Ovis aries: one gene and its partner. The protein of the gene in region 1 interacts with the protein of each later gene in a pairwise test. Links are inferred from orthologs where the notes say so. Each region holds a gene or a part of one and is shown on either strand. Other genes may lie near its edges.

Region 1 (3,189 bases):
CCAATCCCTCCCAGCATCAGAGTCTTTTCCAATGAGTCAGCTCTTCTCATCAGGTGGCCAAAGTACTGGAGCTTCAGCTTTAGCATCATTCCTTCCAATGAACACCCAGGGCTGATCTCCTTCAGAATGGACTTGTTGGATCTCCTTGCAGTCCAAGGGACTCTCAAGAGTCTTCTCCAACACCACAGCTCAAAAGCATCAATTCTTTGGTGCTCAGCCTTCTTCACAGTCCAACTCTCACATCCATACATGACCACAGGAAAACCATAGCCTTGACTAGACGGACTTAGTAATGTCTTAGTAATGTCGGCAAAGTAATGTCTCTGCTTTTGAATATACTATCTAGGTTGGTCATAACTTTTCTTCCAAGGAGTAAGCGTCTTTTAATTTCATGGCTGCAGTCACTATCTGCAGTGATTTTGGAGCCCCCAAAAATAAAGTCTGACACTGTTTCCACTGTGTCCCCATCTATTTCCCATGAAGTCATGGGACCAGATGCCATGATCTTCGTTTTCTGAATGTTGAGCTTTAAGCCAACTTTTTCACTCTCCTCTTTCACTTTCATCAAGAGGCTTTTTAGCTCCTCTTCACTTTCTGCCATAAGGGTGGTGTCATCTGCATATCTGAGGTTATTGATATTTCTCCCGGCAATCTTGATTCCAGCTTGTGCTTCTTCCAGTCCAATGTTTCTCATGATGTACTCTGCATAGAAGTTAAATAAGCAGGGTGACAATATACAGCCTTGACAGACTCCTTTTCCTATTTGGAACCAGTCTGTTGTTCCATGTCCAGTTCTAACTGTTGCTTCCTGACCTGCATACAGATTTCTCAAGAGGCAGGTCAGGTGGTCTGGTATTCCCATCTCTTTCAGAATTTTCCACAGTTTATTGTGATCCACACAGTCAAAGTCTTTGGCGTAGTCAGTAAAGCAGAAATAGATGTTTTTCTGGAACTCTCTTGCTTTTTCCATGATCAAGCGGATGTTGGCAATATGATCTCTGGTTCCTCTGCTTTTTCTAAAACCAGCTTGAACATCAGGGAGTTCACGGTTCCCGTATTGCTGAAGCCTGGCTTGGAGAATTTTGAGCATTACTTTACTAGCGTGTGAGATGAGTGCAATTGTGCGGTAGTTTGAGCATTCTTTGGCATTGCCTTTCTTTGGGATTGGAATGAAAACTGACCTTTTCCAGTCCTGTGGCTATTGCTGAGTTTTCCAAATTTGCTGGCATATTGAGTGCAGCACTTTCACAGCATCATCTTTCAGGATTTGAAATAGCTCAACTGGAATTCCATCACCTCCACTAGCTTTGTTCTTAGTGATGCTTTCTAAGGCCCACTTGACTTCACATTCCAAGATGTCTGGCTCTAGATTAGTGATCACATCATCATGATTATCTGGGTCGTGAAGATTTTTTTGTACAGTTCTTCTGTGTATTCTTGCCACCTCTTCTTAATATCTTCTGCTTCTGTTAGGTCCATACAATTTCTGTCTTTTATCAAGCCCATCTTTGCATGAAATGTTCCCTTGGTATCTCTAATTTTCTTGAAGAGATCTCTAGTCTTTCCCATTCTGTTGTTTTCTTCTATTTCTTTGCATTGTTTGCTGAAGAAGGCTTTCTTATCTCTTCTTGCTATTCTTTGGAACTCTGCATTCAGATGCTTATATCTTTCCTTTTCTCCTTTGCTTTTCGCCTCTCTTCTTTTCACAGCTATTTGTAAGACCTCCCCAGACAGCCATTTTGCTTTTTTGCATTTCTTTTCCATGGGGACGGTCTTGATCCCTGTCTCCTGTGCAATGTCTCGAACCTCATTCCATAGTTCATCAGGCACTCTGTCTATCAGATCTAGGCCCTTAAATCTATTTCTCACTTCCACTGTATAATCATAAGGGATTTGATTTAGGTCATACCTGAATGGTCTAGCGGTTTTCCCTACTTTCTTCAATTTGGGTCTGAATTTGGTAATAAGGAGTTCATGATCTGAGCCACAGTCAGCTCCTGGTCTTGTTTTTGTTGACTGTATAGAGCTCTGCTCACTCATCACATAAATGCATACGGTTCCCCCTCTGAACTGTGTTCTCTGAGGACAGGGGCCTTCTCTTTCCAGATACACATCCCCACGCTTAAGACAGTCCTAGACACATGGTAGGTGCCTGATAAATAGTCCTTGGTTGAACGGGTGAAATCTGGCATCATCTTCACAACCTCAGGTCTGTTTGTCACCCTATACCCTCTCTCCCTTATCTGGGGTTTATTGTCCCGTGCAGTAAGTATTCTTGGAGCTCTGGCTGCGTCCGCAGCATCGGAGCAAGGCGCTGGGGGAGCCCATGAGGGGTGCTTCCAGCAGTGTGGTGATGGCTATCTGTCACATCCGTTTCTAGGAACGCCGTGGAACCAGCCTGGACATAAACGATGGGCCCTGTGGCCTGGGCATGGGCACCGAAATGAATGCCGCCCTCATGCACCGGAGACACACTGACCCGGTGCAGCTCCAAGTGGCTGGGGTATGTGAACGTCCCTCTCTGGGCTCAATGGAGGAGACCGAGGGGCCAAGTAGAGAGACGGTTGGTCCTCCAGAAGAGGCCTCACACTGCGTGGAGTTCACATAGAGGTGGAGGGAACCCAGCCAGTGACGGTGGGGCGAGAGTTCGCGGCAGAGCTGATCCCAGCTGGCATCATCCGGCCTGCTGCCCTCAGTCTGGCCGTCAGGCCTTGCCCGGTGCCCGTACTTCCTGGCTGCCATTCTAGCAGGGGGAGGCCTGTTGCGTTTGTCACTGATGAGGCTGTGCTGGCACCGAGGCTATTAGTCTGGGCATGCTGTGCTCTGTTTGTCACTTGAAGAAGATAAAAAAGACCACCTATTGATGTAGGGATCCTCTCGGGGCCTTGGGGGATAGGCTCAGGGGTTGCTCAGGGCTAGACACCCGGGTCTGCTTTCAGTGGCAGCAGGGTTTGAGGTACCACTCTGGAGAGCCATCCATCAGCCTTCAGGGCAGGCTGCTCACGGAGAGCTTTGTCTGGACCACAGGGCCAGCAGATTCTCTTCCGTGTGTGTGCCAGTGACTCAGAGCCCAGCTTGGCCAGCCCGGGCTCAGCAGGGCCCCTCTGTTTTTCCCCAACAGCGGGTGCGGTGGGCCCGGGCGCTGTATGACTTCGAGGCCCTGGAGGACGACGAGTTGGGCTTCCGCTG
Region 2 (4,408 bases), on another chromosome or scaffold:
TGGTAATCTAACACTTTCCGCCCTTCAAATTAGCAAATTTTATTGGTTCTAGTTGTTTGTAAAATACTTATTATTTTAAGGTTGTAGGGAAGCTGCTACTCCCATGATTCTCCCTTGAGCATGAGTACAACCTTTAGTCTCTGAAGCAATTTGGCAATGTGTAACAAGGACTTAAAAAGGATTTACGTGTTTATTCAGCAGGGGAGGAATATATCCTAACCCAAACAAATAGATTTATGTATAAGAGTATTCATTACATCACAACTTAAAATTCATAAAATGAAGCAGCTTTGGTGTCCACTGCAGGGGACTCGATATATGGTACAGCCATCATCCCATGAAACAGCATGTAGCTTAAAAAAAGTTGTTTTTTTTTTTAAAATAAGATGAGACTAAGTGAAAGGACCAAAGTATAAAGCAGTATTTGGCTATGATTCCAAATTTGTACATGGCCACTGTGATCCTCAAGCAGTAATAAGAGAAACTTTACAATACGGAATTGGAATTACACATAATGATCAACATCCATTCCACAGCTTGAAAGGACACACTGTTAAGACTTGCTACCCACGTCCTAATTTGAAAAAGAAGTGTGGGATGAGTACACTGCTGATTCAGATCCTTTTTATGAATGGCGGGGAGAGAAGAAAGTGGATTGTAAAGCTGAAAGTTATGTCTGCAACTGACATTCAGCCTCTTAAAATTTTGTTTAATGAAACTTTTGGGTGACTTTTACACCATCTAGCTATTAAGTTTTGGTGAAGTGAGCAGAGATGAGAGAGAGGAAAAAGTGAGGAATCCTATAACCTTTCAGTATACACAATGTCACACAATGTAAGAATAAATGAAACTCAGAGTACACACACTCTCTCTGATTCAGACCTGCAGACACATATTTAAAGCACTCCTACTCTAAGCAGAAATGCCTCAAAACATACCACCTGACCATCCCTGAACTCACTTGCCCTTCATCACTAGTTTCAGAACTCCTAGCTTATTCCCAATGCCCACGACTACCACCACCAATTAAACAAAGCTAGTAAGCACGGCGAGACTGTTTTACAGTGATCTTGAACTCTCCTGCGTTTATTTTTCACAGCAGTACTTCAAACGTCTAATCTAACTCCTCAGAAGAAAGGGAACAAAAATGCCTTTAGATGCTTATAACGTCTCATGTTACACATGCCTGGACTCCAGAGAAAAAGGAGCAACCCAAGTCCTTTGAGCAGAAATGACACCTTTCTGCTCAGTGCTGATTTGGCGTGAGCTCAGCTTTATCAACTTGCCTGCCGGCCTGGGCCCAGGTGCTTCAAGCAGCCCCATAGCAGAGGCCAGCTTGTTTCTGCAAACAGTCTGAAACCGCATGAAGCCAAAATCAACAGAAGTTATTACGAAAACACAAAAGGAAAAACACACCTAAACTGCCACCTTGTCTGTCACAGCTCTCAAACCGAAAAGTATCTTGACAGTATGCACATCTATCTACCTGTTTGCAGATGTCAACCTGCAGAACAAACAGCTGGGAAACGTGGGGTTAGTCTCTGGTTGTCAATTTCAGGAAACACAAGCATGTCTTAGTTTTGAGCTCAGGTTCCAGGTCAATACAGGTTTTCCGGACTTCAGTTTTTTTTCCAGACTGGAAATGCGCTAAGCTAATAATTAACCTTAAGCATACCATCACCTCTACTAAAAACATTTGCTACACACAGCTCTAAATTACTTTCAGTTGACTTAAACAAAACAGACAAGCTGTAATAAAAGGTCTCTGAGAAATGTGATCTCTTTCATTGGTCATCCAGGACCTTTCCCCCTAAAATCCGCTCCTTCTTGGGGAGGGGCGGGGGAGAGTTGCCAAAATAAAGATGCCACCCAAAGCACAATTATTTTGTGAGAAAGTTACCTAAGCTAACTCTTCAGGGTTTCTCAGGTTGAGTAATTCTTGCAGGCGGGTAGGGAGGGACAGCTCGCCTCCAAGATTACTATCTGCAGAGGTTTCCCTAATGTTGATTTTTTTTTTTTTTTTTTTTGGCGTCCTTTTTAATTATCCTGCAAGGGCTTTGATTTTCACATCTCTAGCTGCTGCTGGGGGGAGTTGAGAGCGACGCGCTAGGGCTGCGGCATCTGCGCGGGCCAAGTCCAACGCCTGGGGGGCGGGCACCCCACTCCCCACCGGGTCCCACCCTCCCCGGCTCAGGCGCGCACAGCCCAGCCAAGACTGCGGTTCGCGGGCGGGGACTCACCGCTGTCCAGCCGCGCGATCTGGGGCAGTCGGTAAGTGCTGACCAGCAGGTCGAGCGGAACGGCCACCGAGCTCCACTTCACATCCTTGAGGCTGCAGCCCAGCGAGGGCGCCGGGTCCATCTTCCCCGCCTCCTCCGGCCCCGCGCTCCCGCCGCCGGCACCACCCCGCGCCTCGGCGGCCGCCGCTGCTCGCGCTCGCGGAGCTGGGACGCGCGAGGGGCGCCCGGCACTCCGGCCGCGGGCAGCCCGGGGGCGCGGCGGCGGCTGCGGCAGCCGGGAGCGAGGGAGGGACGGAGGGGGCCCGCGACCGGCTCAGCTGCCGCTGCGGGGCATGGCTGGGGCGCCCCGCGTGCCCTCAAGCCCGGAGAGGACAGGCAGCAGCCCCGCGGCGGCCGGGGTGGCTGCGGCGGCTCCCGCTCCGCCTCCTCCTCTGGCCCCGGGTCTGCAGCTGCGGCGGCCGCCCGCTCGCCTCCTCCTCCTCTCACCCCTCCTTCCCTCCGCCTGGAGCGTGTGAGGAGGAGCCGCGGGTCTGAGAAACGCCATAGCAGCGCTCCCAGCACTGACTAATCAACAAGGTGCGAGCAACGCCTGCGCAGCTCGGAGAGACCCCGCCCCCGCCTCCCCGGCGCCGCCCGCCCCGCCCCGCCCCGCCTCCCGCTCGGCCTCCCCCGCCCCCCGCAGCCGGGCGGGCTCGGCTAGGCGGCGGCTCCAGGATCCGGCGGGCGTCTGGGCGCGCTCCGCAAGCTTTAGCTCTCGCTCCCCCGTCCGACCGCTCCGGCGCCTTGCAGCCTCGCCAGGCGCCGCCGCACGCCCGCATTCCTTCGCTTTCCCGGGGCCTGCCCGGAGGAACACGGCGAGCTCGGGAATCTCACTCGTCCTGAAGATGTAGCTCCCTCTCTGTCCATCCCTCACCGTGGCGCTGGAGTTGCTGTTATAGGGCGCAAGAGATCTGTGTGGTGCCCATCTGTTGAGAGTGCCACAGCTGGGAAAAGCATCCATCCCTTGGCGTGCCTCCCGCCACCCCGCCCCGACAGTCCTAAAACTCTCCAGAAAAGCAGCTGGAAGTTACCCCCTTGAGTCTACACTCAAGTTTTAAGATTATTTTACACCAGACTCTGGCTACAAGGAGGAATGACAAAGGCCTAATCACCGAGAAACAGAAAGGTAACGAATTATCAGTATCCACACAAGGGAAGATGACTGTCGGGTTGGCACCTTCATTGTACCTACCGACAAGCTGCTGGAGACGGCGGGGATTGAGACCAACAGCCACAGACACGCCAATTTACTGGGAGGCGATGGGAACCAGCTGTTGTCACATGCTTTTCTCACTCATTTCTCTCCCAGGGTTGGACTAATTCTCGTTTTCTAGATATACGTACCAAGACATTTGGTAAATTGGCAAGATTGAGCACTTGTAGATAGATACGCCTGGATTCAAGCCCACAGTCCACTTTCTGTGATAAACACTCTGTTTTCCCCAATATTGACTGTGGCCTACTCCCTGCAGACAGAGCTCAGAGGTAGCTGTAAGATTCCTGTTTCTTTAAGCACATCCTAACTTTTAAGTGCTACTTTTTTTCTTTTAAGATTATTTTACACCAGGAAAATAATGGCTTCCCAGGTGGCACTAGTAGTAAAGAACCTGCCTGCTAATGCAGGAGTCATAAGAGGCCTGGGTTCGATCCCTGGGTTGGGAAGATCCCTTGGAGAAGAAAATGGCAACCCACTCCAGTATTCTGGCCTGGAGAACCCCATGGACAGAGGAGCCTGGCAGGCTACAGTCCATAGGTCCATAAGAGTGGGACACCACTGAAGCTACTTGGCACACAGCACACACACCAGCAGAGGCAAGTGGTGGCCAGGTGAAAGGGTTACATAGATCAGTTCTTTATATTTTTCAGTACACATTCAGTGTACAATACATGGAAGACAAAACAAACACCTGCTTCACCCACCCAGGGGGACTTGAAAACAACCACTGCCTTTCAGATGGCTAGCTTAGGTCTGTGCCAATGAATAAACCTCTCCATAACAATTACAGAAAAACCCTGGAGATGCTTCTCACACTTTCCCTGTCCTCCCCCTTGGAAGCACTGAAGATGATTTTCACAAAATCTTCTGCTGAAAGTTTTCAGCTTTGTGTCACTGATGTGAAGTTTTCAGA

The links.
Region 2: the proteins of GRAP2 (region 1) and GAREM1 interact in binary tests that used the Homo sapiens proteins (3 or more experiments, as listed by UniProt). The link is inferred for Ovis aries from reciprocal best matches to the Homo sapiens genes GRAP2 and GAREM1.

What each region holds. Positions count from the first base shown.
Region 1 is NC_056056.1:217,144,957-217,148,145, forward strand, and holds part of GRAP2 (GRB2-related adapter protein 2), read left to right. Parts: intron 1-2,380; coding exon 2,381-2,503; intron 2,504-3,121; coding exon 3,122-3,189. UniProt on the Homo sapiens protein: Interacts with SLP-76 to regulate NF-AT activation. Binds to tyrosine-phosphorylated shc.
Region 2 is NC_056076.1:25,032,508-25,036,915, reverse strand, and holds the start of GAREM1 (GRB2-associated and regulator of MAPK protein 1), read right to left. Parts: upstream 2,807-4,408; 5' UTR 2,362-2,806; coding exon 2,241-2,361; intron 1-2,240.